Linked DNA regions of Oryzias latipes. The main gene of each other region encodes a partner of the protein of the gene in region 2 in a complex. Links are inferred from orthologs where the notes say so. Each region holds a gene or a part of one and is shown on either strand. Other genes may lie near its edges.

The links.
Region 1: kansl3 (region 2) and ogt share a complex: the UniProt entries of both Homo sapiens proteins name them as parts of the NSL complex. The link is inferred for Oryzias latipes from reciprocal best matches to the Homo sapiens genes KANSL3 and OGT.
Region 3: kansl3 (region 2) and kansl2 share a complex: the UniProt entries of both Homo sapiens proteins name them as parts of the NSL complex. The link is inferred for Oryzias latipes from reciprocal best matches to the Homo sapiens genes KANSL3 and KANSL2.

What each region holds. Positions count from the first base shown.
Region 1 is NC_019868.2:18,366,264-18,370,358, reverse strand, and holds the start of ogt (UDP-N-acetylglucosamine--peptide N-acetylglucosaminyltransferase 110 kDa subunit), read right to left. Parts: upstream 2,910-4,095; 5' UTR 2,584-2,909; coding exon 2,547-2,583; intron 1,231-2,546; coding exon 1,050-1,230; intron 1-1,049. UniProt on the Homo sapiens protein: Catalyzes the transfer of a single N-acetylglucosamine from UDP-GlcNAc to a serine or threonine residue in cytoplasmic and nuclear proteins resulting in their modification with a beta-linked N-acetylglucosamine (O-GlcNAc).
Region 2 is NC_019867.2:17,067,807-17,071,457, forward strand, and holds part of kansl3 (KAT8 regulatory NSL complex subunit 3), read right to left. Parts: intron 3,500-3,651; coding exon 3,342-3,499; intron 3,247-3,341; coding exon 3,183-3,246; intron 3,089-3,182; coding exon 2,900-3,088; intron 1-2,899. UniProt on the Homo sapiens protein: Non-catalytic component of the NSL histone acetyltransferase complex, a multiprotein complex that mediates histone H4 acetylation at 'Lys-5'- and 'Lys-8' (H4K5ac and H4K8ac) at transcription start sites and promotes transcription initiation.
Region 3 is NC_019865.2:25,931,457-25,935,107, reverse strand, and holds part of kansl2 (KAT8 regulatory NSL complex subunit 2), read right to left. Parts: intron 3,279-3,651; coding exon 3,188-3,278; intron 132-3,187; coding exon 1-131. UniProt on the Homo sapiens protein: Non-catalytic component of the NSL histone acetyltransferase complex, a multiprotein complex that mediates histone H4 acetylation at 'Lys-5'- and 'Lys-8' (H4K5ac and H4K8ac) at transcription start sites and promotes transcription initiation.

The DNA.
Region 1 (4,095 bases), on a different chromosome or scaffold from region 2:
ATTAAGGGATTTTTTTGATTCGTTACATACTTCAGGCTGCCATAAGACTGTTTTAGCACATTTAAGATTACCATTCATTGCAATTTTGCGGTCTTTTGCTATACGCGTATTGCACAGCTTGATATCGCAATAATGATACATTTGTGACTTATTGTGCAGGCCTAATTTACATCATGCTGTCTGCATTCTGACTTTCTTCTAATGAGAGTGGATATAAAAAAGGAGTGTTTTCTACAAAAGAAGCACCCCTCAGATTTGTGACAAATGTAGAGTTGGCCTGTGCTTTCAACTGGAATAAAACTGCCTCAAAGTCTGCCATATGATCAAAAAATGTCCCTTCTATGTTTGCAGAAGCTGTAGAAAAATAAAATACAATCGTCCAGACAAACAAAACTGCTTGTGCTACTTCAAACGAGTTAACAATAATTTCAAAACATTTAGATCAGTTAATCTAGGTTTTTTATAAGAAAAATAGTCATTACAGTTATTACAATTTGAGTAAATTTGGAAGTTAAATATGTACTGAATAAAGAGGCAAAAGACTTCACTCTAAAGTTTTGAGACAATTTATTGTTAATTAAAATAAGGCTGGGGAGGCCAATTACAATAAGCTTTGTGTTGACTTTAGTTCAAGGTTTATCAGTTCTGTCGGTGATTAGAGTGAAAATACTAGGAATAAATGTGTTGCATGATTAAAATTCTCTATACTGGAAACAGTATGGTAGATGCTGATTGTCGATGATTTGTGACTTACCTAAAATCATATCTATTTTATGTGTTCTTGTCAAATTTACCATCTCAATTTTATTTAGCATCTACTTGAAAACAAAAACATGTTTTCATAACTGGAAATAAATTCAGGTGTCAAAGGATTAGGGAATCATCAATAGAGGCCTCTTTAAGAAGTAGAAATAGCACCTCAGCTAAAAAACGGCTGGTTTCTTCTAACAATAAAGAAAGTGTTGGAAATACCATTTCTTGATCCTTTCATTTGTAAAGCCCTTCCATTCTGCTGCTCTCATTTGCCAGCCTGTATAAAGTGTTCTCACCTGTCAAGTCTTCTGCACTGGAAGTGAATGGAGGACAGCAGCAATAACACTCCAGTATTATCAGGCTCCTGCCTCCACAGCTGCATGCAGTGGCGCTCGGCCGCCTCAAAATCTCCTGACTGATACTCCCGGTGTGCAAGCTCAGCCAACCCTTGGAAGGAAAGCATACGTTTTGTTGGTTCTGGACAACCAACACAGGCCAAGGAGGGGGGAAACGACATGTTAGAGGTGATGAAAGAAAATAAAGACGACAAATGAAAAAACAGGAAGAAATAAAAATAGAAGCAAACATGACAATGTTTGTATTAAAATAAATGCCTGACAAATGTAACTTCAAAATGTGATAATGGGTAAAAATGATGACGTCACAAGAGGGAACATAAGGGGGACACTTCACAACTTTTATACAAACTATAAGCATCTGTACATATAAATTAATTACAATTTAATGTATATAAAAAATGCACACTGACGCTTTTTTCCAACTAAGGAAACGCATAATTTATATGTCAGACTAGCTTTTCCAAAATGCAGAGTAAACGAAAACGTTATTAAGTCTATTCGTCATCAAACAGGTGCATCTTGATAGAGAACAGGGAGATTGTGGCTCCACCTACTGTAGCATCTACGTCACTGCTACAAGCTTTTTCCAACAGCATTTTTATCATCTGCTGCTGCTAATTCACGATTGAATTTTAATCTTAAATTTCTTTACATATCATCCATTATAAGAAAAATGCTACACGAACAAGTTAAAAACACGATTTTCATCGAAGTGGGTCTTTATTGTGGGGGTGGGGTGTGTGGAAAAAAACTGCACCACAACGCACGCAAAATCTGCTAATAATCGCGTTAAAGTTAGTTTATCGTTAAAACTGAGCTTGTTCGTCATTTTCTAATTTTGAAAAACATATATCCCTAACATTCGCCGTCCCTCCCAAAAAAAAATGAATTAAAAAATAAGATATCTTTGAAGGCATTTTAGTAGGACACTTCATTTCAGCGCCCTTTATTGCAAACCGAAACGCCCCTTAGCTGGCGGCCATTTTCTCAGACAAAAACCACGAGATAAATGTTCAGTTTAGGATTTAAAAAAATAAAATGTATGAACATAGTGACGCCCAAGGAGGAAAAATGTTGCAGCGCCAAAGATTTAATCGTTTCCTACCCATTTAAACGTCACATCTACAAATACCAACGCTAGCTCGTCTTGACTTAATACTGTTTAGGTTAAGACGCCAAATGAAGGAATATTCGGTACAAATTGGCGAAAAATATAATAAAATAGCCTTATTATAATATATCTATTAATACATATAAATTGGTACCGTGGTGTTAGAAGAGCGGCGCTACTGGTTTACATACTAGCATCCTCATTTACCTTATTGCTGTGGATTACCAAAAGGGTCATTGTTAGATTAAAATTTACTTTTAAAAACTATTTTAAATCGTTGCTTCTTTCTAAAGGAGGTGCTTTTATTTTTTTGAGCCACTAACCTGTACTGTCTGCCACGTTTCCCACAGAACTCGCCATCTCCCCAGCAGTCTTCGTTTCTTGCACGGCGGTCGTCAATGTGTCGTCTGGGAGCTCACAGCTTCAGAGAAAAATAGATGTATTTCTTATAACTAACTGTGGTCTTTCTGAGACGAAAACTGAAAGCACGTTGTTGTCTGGCTAGGTAGACCGGGTTATAGTTACCTACTAATCTCGTATTCAGAATAAATTTCCTAAAGCCCTACCTTAAAATGCCGCTGTTTGGGTATATTTACACAGATAATGTAGTTACTGCACCTACATATGACATAAAAAATATACCGCTACCGTTCACGATATTCTATCTGCACAACAAAGCAGCTAGTGAACGTAAAATGGCGAATTGGGTGGAACTCGTTTTTGTGATCAACTAGATCCTGACACCGGCATTGATTGAAAATAATAGTTGGGCATTAATACATGTGACTATAAACCCAATATACATTATTATTTTTATTGTATTAAGAAGTTATACATATACATATATATAACCTGATGTAAAATTATACACTTAAGGTAAAACCACGCGGAAGAATACAATGGTGCAGTGAGACTCAAACGGTAAAAGGAAGCAGCACTGCTCGGAGGTATCTGAAAGAGTCACGTGTCAGCTGTGCTGCGAGGAAGTGGAAGGTGCGCTGGTCTAGTAACAAACACATCAACATTACATAACCGTGGGTTGTTTGATTTCTTTTTATTTTCTTTTAGTTCTTCTTGTAGTTTTATTTATCTTTTTATTTTATTTTAGTTCTTCTTGTAGTTTTTATATATATAGACACACACAAAAAACATATTCAAATACACACAAAAGAAGTTCAGATAAGATTTGTAATTCCAGGGACATTTAACAGGTGTTAGCTTTTATTTTATTTTTAACTGCAAAGGGTATTTTCTTAATGTGTAAAGCAAGCATTAAATGTACAATCTACTGTTAAATATCTTTCCACATAAATACTGTTTACTAATCCTTACTAGTTACATATATTTTGTCAACTGATTTTTTTTTAAACTGTAGCCTGATGGATAGAGTTCTGGTTAAATCAACATCAATTGCTATGTGAAGGAAGTTGCCAACAGGCTCAGTTTACATTGAACATCACTGACAGGATGTGTTTGCACCAGAATAACTATTCTTCTAATCTTCAAGTCCCGAGCTTAAACAACTTTATTTCTATTTCTTTTTAAAATATTTCTAGGACTTGCAGTATGTTTATGGTTTTTTTCAACCAAGCAATTTTCCTGCAAGATTAATCGACATCTTCTAACACATCTTATTTTTTGCCAATATTTAATGTTTTTCCTTAATATGTTTTGCCAACATTGATATCCAAACATAAACCCTTGTTTTTCTTTTCTTAATTATGTTTAAATTAATTAGTTTTTGTTTTAACCAAATGTTTTTTAACCCTGTTTTTGCAAACAGCAAATGTACATTTAAGATAAAAAAACAAACAAACTCCTGTTTCTGACATATTAAAAATGTTGCTGGTGTGCTGATGCTGTGATCTGTCA
Region 2 (3,651 bases):
TCGGCCCTTCCCTGGCTCTGGGACGGGACGGGACAACCCTCTCGGGGCCCCCGGTCGCTCTGGGTGTCACCCGCTTCGGCTGCGGGGTCTGGGGTGGGGTGGGGTGGGGGGCTTGTCGGCCCTGTCCTGTGGGGGGGCGTTCTGGGGGGGAGGGGGGGCCCATTATTAGTACGGGTCGGGGGGGCTAGCGGGTCGGGGTCTCCGCTGAGGCAATCAGTGGTTGCCTCGGCCGGTTGGCCTCCTCGGTCCCGTCGAGGCCTGACCAGAGCTCTTCTAGGGCCGGCGTCTGGGGGTGGGGGCCTGGGCTTGCTCCGGGGGGGGGCGACGCTTTCTGGCTCCTCTCTCTCTGTGTGGGGTGGGTGGTGCCGGGCCTGGGGTGTCGGCGCCTCCGGGGGTGGGCCCCTGGGCTGGGTGGCCCTGGCCCCTTTGCTGGGGGTGGGCTGGGGGACGGCTGTTTGACCACCGGGGGACAGTCTACCAGCTGTCCCCAACTTACCCCCTTCCTTATATAACCTCATATTAGGGTGAGGGGGTGGGGGGTTTAGCCTGCGATGCGCCTTGGGGGGGGGCTACTTGGGAGTGGCCCCCCTCCTATGGTTGCCGTATGGAGTGGGCCCCCCCTCTTTCGGTTTTATTTGCACCTTAGACACGTAGGGTCCTTGGTAGGGGGGGTGCTTGGACATCACTGCCAGCAAGCAGCAGATGTCCTCCTGGCACCCTACCCGCCAATTTTAACCGCACCTTAGACATTTAGGGCCCCTTGGTGTGGAGGGTGAGGGGACATCACTGTGAGTAATCAGGAGATGTCCCCTTAGTGCCCTACTCGCCAATTTTAACTGCACCCCCCTTAGTACACACACCCCTCCCCCTTCAATATATACATTCAAACATAAACACACACACATGCACACAAACACCCTCTCAAACACCCATACACGCACACACATTTTACAAGGAAGGTGGGACCTGGGTCCATCTGTCCCCTACCCCGTCCCTGGTGGGGGGTGCGGGCCCCTTGGCGATGGCGGCCGTGTCCCTTGGGTGCCGGCTCCCTGGGCCCGGCGGTGCTCTCTCCGCACGGTGGGGGGGTTCATATTACACCTGAGCCGGGGGTGTTCGTGTCCCTGGGGGGTGGGTCCTGGTCCTTGCCCCTGGGCGCTGGGCCCCGCCAAACTTCCAACATGGCCGAGCCTGGTCGGGCCATATTTATAACATCCCTTATGGGCCGCCCTTTTTTCCCCGGGGTTCCCCCCTCCTGGGCGGGGGCGGCGGGCCCCTGCCTTGCTCCTACCTGGACCAACCGTGGGCCGGGTGGGTGGCTGCCTGGAGTGCGGAGCGGGTCTCCCTTGGGGGGTCCTGGCTCGTACCTGGGGTCGGGGCGGGGGGATGCCCGGAACTCCTGGGTGGTGGTGGGGTGCTCGTCTGGGGCTGTGGGCGTCCCTCTCCGGTGGGGCCCTGCGTTGGGCTCTTCCGGCGCGGCGGGGGGCTGCTTTCCTGGCTGGGCTGGGGCGGCGCTCTCTTTCCCCCTGCGCCTCCCTGCTCTCTGGCTCTGGGGGCCTCGCGGCGGTCCTGCTGGCCCTGGCCTGGGTGGCGGTCTTGGTCGCCCGGGGGGCGGTTGTTCCCTGCCTGTTCCCGTGTGGCGCTGGGGGAATTCCGGCTGCCGCTGCTGCTGCGGCGGGGGTATGGGTGTGGGGGTGGCTGGGCGCTCCTCCTCCTTCTTTTCACATTCCACCATCCATTTTAGAAGAACATAAACACTCACCTGAGCACAGGTGTTAGCTCACCTTTGCACTAATAGTTTGCATGATTGAATGAATGAAAGATTTCACACTAGTTGGTTTAAAGGCATAAGTATGCGTTCGTGAACACTATCTGTTTTGTGTGCATGTTGACATGTGGACATTTCTGCGGCTAGCAGGTGTGTTGATAATATTTGAGTGTGTGTGAACAGGCCCCGCCCTTTTTGTACTACATGTGAACCGTACCGTAACGATAAACAACCAGTAAACCTGCCTGCTCTATGCTGCTTCATGGTCTTACCCCCCTTCCCCTCCTATTATCACCCTCCTACCCCCCCCTCTCTCTAACGTCCCTCTCTCTTGTTCCCCTCTTTCCTTTTCCGTCCGGTCCAACACCAAAGATTTTCAAACATGATTGAAATTAATAAAGTTTGGCCTCAATTACAAAAGGGGTTTATTCAGACATACCTTTGGTTTGTCTGAAGATGAATAACCCCTCTTGTTAGAATAAAATATGTCCAACACAAGAGGCCCTCAGCTCTCATCTGTTTGCCTAGCTGTTGGACAGGACAAGTTAAAAAAAAAAAAAAAAAAACAAAAAAAAAAACATAAACTTTTGGCTTTATAAAGGCATCACCTAATAAAATGACACCTTTCAGCATATCTATTCAGGGATCGCCACAGCCAATCAGCTTTCACCGATTCGCACAAGTGATTTGGCAGAAATTCTTTCGCCAAATGCCTATCCTGACCCAACCGTGTATTTATCCGGGCTGGGGACCGGCACAGGACGACCCAGACTTGTGGCCCCCTTGTGGCCACAAAGTTGGGGGCCACAAGGGAGTAGCGTGAAGGACCTTGCCTAAGGATTCACACTGGATGAAGCTCATTGCACTTCCTTTTTTTTTTTTTTACTTTCAGTAAGCCAAAGGTGAAAGGTAGTTGGTATAAATTTCAATAGCAACTAAAAACACAGCCTTAGAGAAAAACATGTTTAATATTTAGTAACCCTACAGGGAATTTTACTGCATTGAGTCTGAAAGTTATGCAGTGAAATCACATTAGCATGCTTTTATGTGAAACATCAGCAATTTTCTCTATATTTCTGGATACATTGCTCATCAAATTGTTCAGTGGGATAGAAATGAAGATTTTCTAACCTCAGAACCCGAAGGGGAAATGGGAACTCGAAGCGCCGGGGAGGAAGGTCGGCCTCTCTCCATGTCAAAAGGCAGCTCCCGCCTGGGCCGCTTCTTCTTCTCTGTATCCAAGTCCCTCATCTCTCCTGTTCCATGTCCATGACCTTCTGACCGGGTAAGAACACCGGAGAGGAAGTCGGCTATCTCATCCTGAAAACACAGGAGAAAAGTTTACATTACCGTGTTCAAAACTTACAACAGAAGATAAAAAGAGTTTAGCAAAACACCAGACAGCTATAATAACCTGAATGCAGCGGTCCACTATGGTTTGTGTAAGACCTTCAGACTTCATTTTTGCTGAATTGATTCTGTAAAGAGATGCATAAATATTAAAAACAAGACTGGCCTAAAAGCATCTAATATGATGCCATACTTCACATTATCATGAAAGACATCCACCAACCTGAGGTTGTCATCTGCTCCTCCCACCACCACCATGCTGTTGTCTGCCCTCAGCTTCTCTCTAAACTCCTCCATGCTTTCTGCGTTACACTGCAGAGCATGCTGCCCGATCACAAACAACACAGGAGTCTTCATGTCCAGCAGTGGGTCGTCCACATCCTGCAGTCCAGTGACAGCACATCAATAGAGACCAAACAAAACTGCAAGCTGAATACCAGCTTATTTTACAGACTAAAGGCAAAAGCATCTTTTAGAGAAATGCTATTGACATACAGCTCAACCTTTTTTCCAAGAAAGAAGAAAAAAAAAAC
Region 3 (3,651 bases), on a different chromosome or scaffold from region 2:
CGGAGGCAAGGCGAGGTGAAGAAGGCAGCGCGGATCGTCGGACTGACCCATGTGCACCGTGCGGCTGCACGGGACATCTTTAATGCCGGGACAGATTTTGAAAAGAACCTGGTTGCTGTCTTGGTAAATGTCTGAGCATCTGGCTGTCAAGGATAATGTGTTATCTTTGCTATCATTTACAGGAAACATCATTGGGCAAGACTTGGTCATATGCTTATTGATAACTAACTTCTTGTTGGTATGCTGCAGTGAGTGGAAAGTACCAGCCTGCTATGCAAGGATTAGTTCTGCCATTTTTTGTCCGGAAGCCATTCATTGTGCTTAAAACCCACTCCAATGAAAATGTGTTTTGAAAAAAGTTCTTTTCTGATAATGGAGGACATATAAAGAAAATTAACGTCAAATTGTGTTTCTGAGTCTCTCTTAATTCAAGTTGTTGTGAATCAGGAGCAGACAAAAAAAATGCAGCTTGAAGCTCGCTGTAGTAACTTCTACCACCCGCAAGCTCTCTGCTCCGCTCCATTCTGATGCGTCCACTTGTAGATGGCTACCTCCATCTTTGTTTTCCTAGTCTGAGCTGGAATCTGACTGTATGGCAGGATTAACTCCTGCACCATTAATGTTAGGTTGGGTTGTGAGCGGCTGTAAGCTAGCAGGAAAGCGTGTAAACAGATGGATGACGGGAAGTACGAGGAGACTTACTCCACGCCAACCGTCCTGCCCACAATGGAGAGGCGAAGTGCTGCCGCTCTGCAGAAACTATGTCCTAGAAAAGGACAGTTTCTTAAATTTTACCTCAAAATGGCATCATCATGATTAAAAGACCACTGAGAACGCTTTTACAATAATAGTGTAGGGCTGTCAGCTATTCTGTACAGTCAATGAGTCTTTTTTTTTGACGTTTTTTAAATAATTATAATAACCACCAGCCACAAAGTCATTGGGATCACAAAGAACAACAAGAACTTTACGAGGCAGTATAGCTTTTCCTCGACGATAGTAGACGACAGATAAGAACTTGCATTTCTTGCTGCATTCACACCAACCGCGCGTGGTGCATTCAAGGACGCTCTCTATGCGGTCTTAAGAACACGCATTAGCATCAGACAAGAGCCAGACATGCAGGTAACGACAGAAGATTCTTGTTCTTTTGTGCATTTACTGTTTTTTTTAGCGCTCGTCCGCCACCTACAATAGGAAGAGGCTCGGAGCGCAAAATCAATGCAGCGCAAATCACGTAAATCCTGCTCCAGACGTTTTTTCACAGTTCTGTTCCTATAAATAAATTCAACCTGACACAAACCGCAATTATTACTGTCTCCTTCGTGATCGTGTTTTCAACAGCTGGTACATCTTTGTTTAGAAGCAGACGTCACCCACACATCACTGCTAAACCCACGATTGGTCACAGTGCTGCATTCCAGCGTGAGAACCTTCAATCGCTTGAACCTCCAGTGCGCGATCAATCAATGCCCCATTCGTACGTAGAGATGGTGACCAGACTTAAAAACCTGCAAGCGACGCGCGATCACAGGCGTTCCGGACGAGTGAGCCTTAAATTCTGGTCTGCGCCGTTGACTGTAGACCGGGGGGGAGCCAGTGCACATCAGGAACGGTGCACGGCACACTTTAACCTTGACAAAAATCCCGCGGCACACAAGCATCCAAAAAAAAAAGCGAAATTCATGGTCTGTATTGACCGACAGCCCCCCCCTCCCGCAATCTCACGTGCATTTTTGTGATAATTGTGGCCGGAAAAGCAGGAAGTTGCGGCTGTTTTTTCTAAGAGATGAAATAAAATTTAAATTAGAAAATTTAGAAACTGTTTGTTTGTTGTGGTTTCAAGACGTTTCACAGGGACGACTCATTGTGCGCTGAGACACTGTCCCTTTAAGCCAATGCATCATGGGAGATGTAGTGTGAAAACTGCCGAAAAAGGGCAGACAAACTCTGAGCTTCATTGTTCTGTTCACTTGTTCCACGGTCTGACACCGGATTCTGTGGAAAGCTACACCGCTTAAGACGAGCTTTAGCTGGTATTTTTGTTAGAACTGAGAGACTTTATCAGCAGAATTAAGAACAAGGAAGTGAAGATTTAACCACTTCTTATTGGTCAGACTGATGACATGTGATTAAGCCTTCAAGAATGATTGGCGGAGACAGTTAAAGGGGCGGGACTTTTCCGCAAACTAATATAGCTGCAGGTAAATCGCGGTACCGTCATTCTTATTAAAATGTCTTTAATAGAATCAAATAAACACAAAGAAATAAGTATTTTAAGATCTTTTATATTCCTAACTTCTCAGTGTTTTATCAGGGCCTGTTTGGATGAACAAAGAGCTGATTTCCTGGAGATGGAAAATGTTTTTAGATCAGTAAATGAGGGCAATTTCCCACGACACACTTTACCATCTCCCACGGCACACTGGTTAAAAAACACTGGCTTGGACGATGGTTTAGTGCAGGGATCAGAACCCCCATAGCTTGCCAGCAAATTATGGCTTTTTTCTTTTGTGCTGAAATATAGCTTACCTGCAACCTTAAATTTTTTTTCGCTTTTATAAGGATGAAATTGAAATTCATAACCTATACATATAAAATTTAAATTTTTGTGAAAGCCCCATATGCTGAGCATTAGCAGTGCCTTACTTGACCTCCACGGACTGAACACCACCACTATCACATTTTAGAAAAAAGAAAATTGCACATCAATTTACATAAACAATAATCGTTGACTAATCGACTACTGAAATAGTCGTTAGTGTCAGCCGTACTGGAGTGGGTCTTCCATGAGTGTTTACCCATTGATAGAAGCTCTCTGTCTTTTTAAAGGCTCAAACAATTTAGAATTGCACACAGAATCCTGTCAAAGCAACAGTTTCTCCAAACAGGGTGACTAAAATTTAAAACCTTTTCATTAAAAAAAAAAAGGTTAAAAAGTGTAATTATTTTGTTCCTTCCAACTGAAATGATTAGCTCCTTTTTTACAGGCGAGGACAAATCAACAGACCACAGGAAGGATGTTAATTTAGGCCCTTTAGAAAAACAGCAGTTACAACAAACTACTGCTTTTGATCAGAGCCAGGAACAAAAAAGATTTTAAATAATCAATAACAGAAATGCAAGGAGTGTAAAGAATGTAAAGAAACAGATAATACTTTAAAGATGGTTCACATGGAAAGGATACGTGAAACACAGTGACGAGCCATTGGAAGGCAAGGATTGGTACATCTGGTTCCCTCCATGAAGGAGATGCATGTGTCATTTGCTGGTTTGTTCTGGAAGTTGGACAAACAGTCATTTAAAAAAGAAAAAGAAAAAAGTCACAATGTTTAACGTCAATACATTTGACACCAGGCAAAACGCAATGCTCTGCTTTCACAGACAAAAACATGTTTGTGGCTGCTTTAAAGCAGAAAAACAAAAATGGGTGAAATGGAAATTAAAGGTGTAAAGACCTCAGACACAGCAAACCATCTCTCCATCAAAACACGATGGGAAGAGGATTGCTACCTGTCCCTGACTACACTAACTCATTTTTCACACACTGTCAAAATTACTACCCATACTGGAACAGTAGGTGGCAATATTTGGTCTTTTCACAGATAGACGCCTATCAGCTGGCCAGCATGCCACTATTTAAGCTTTCAT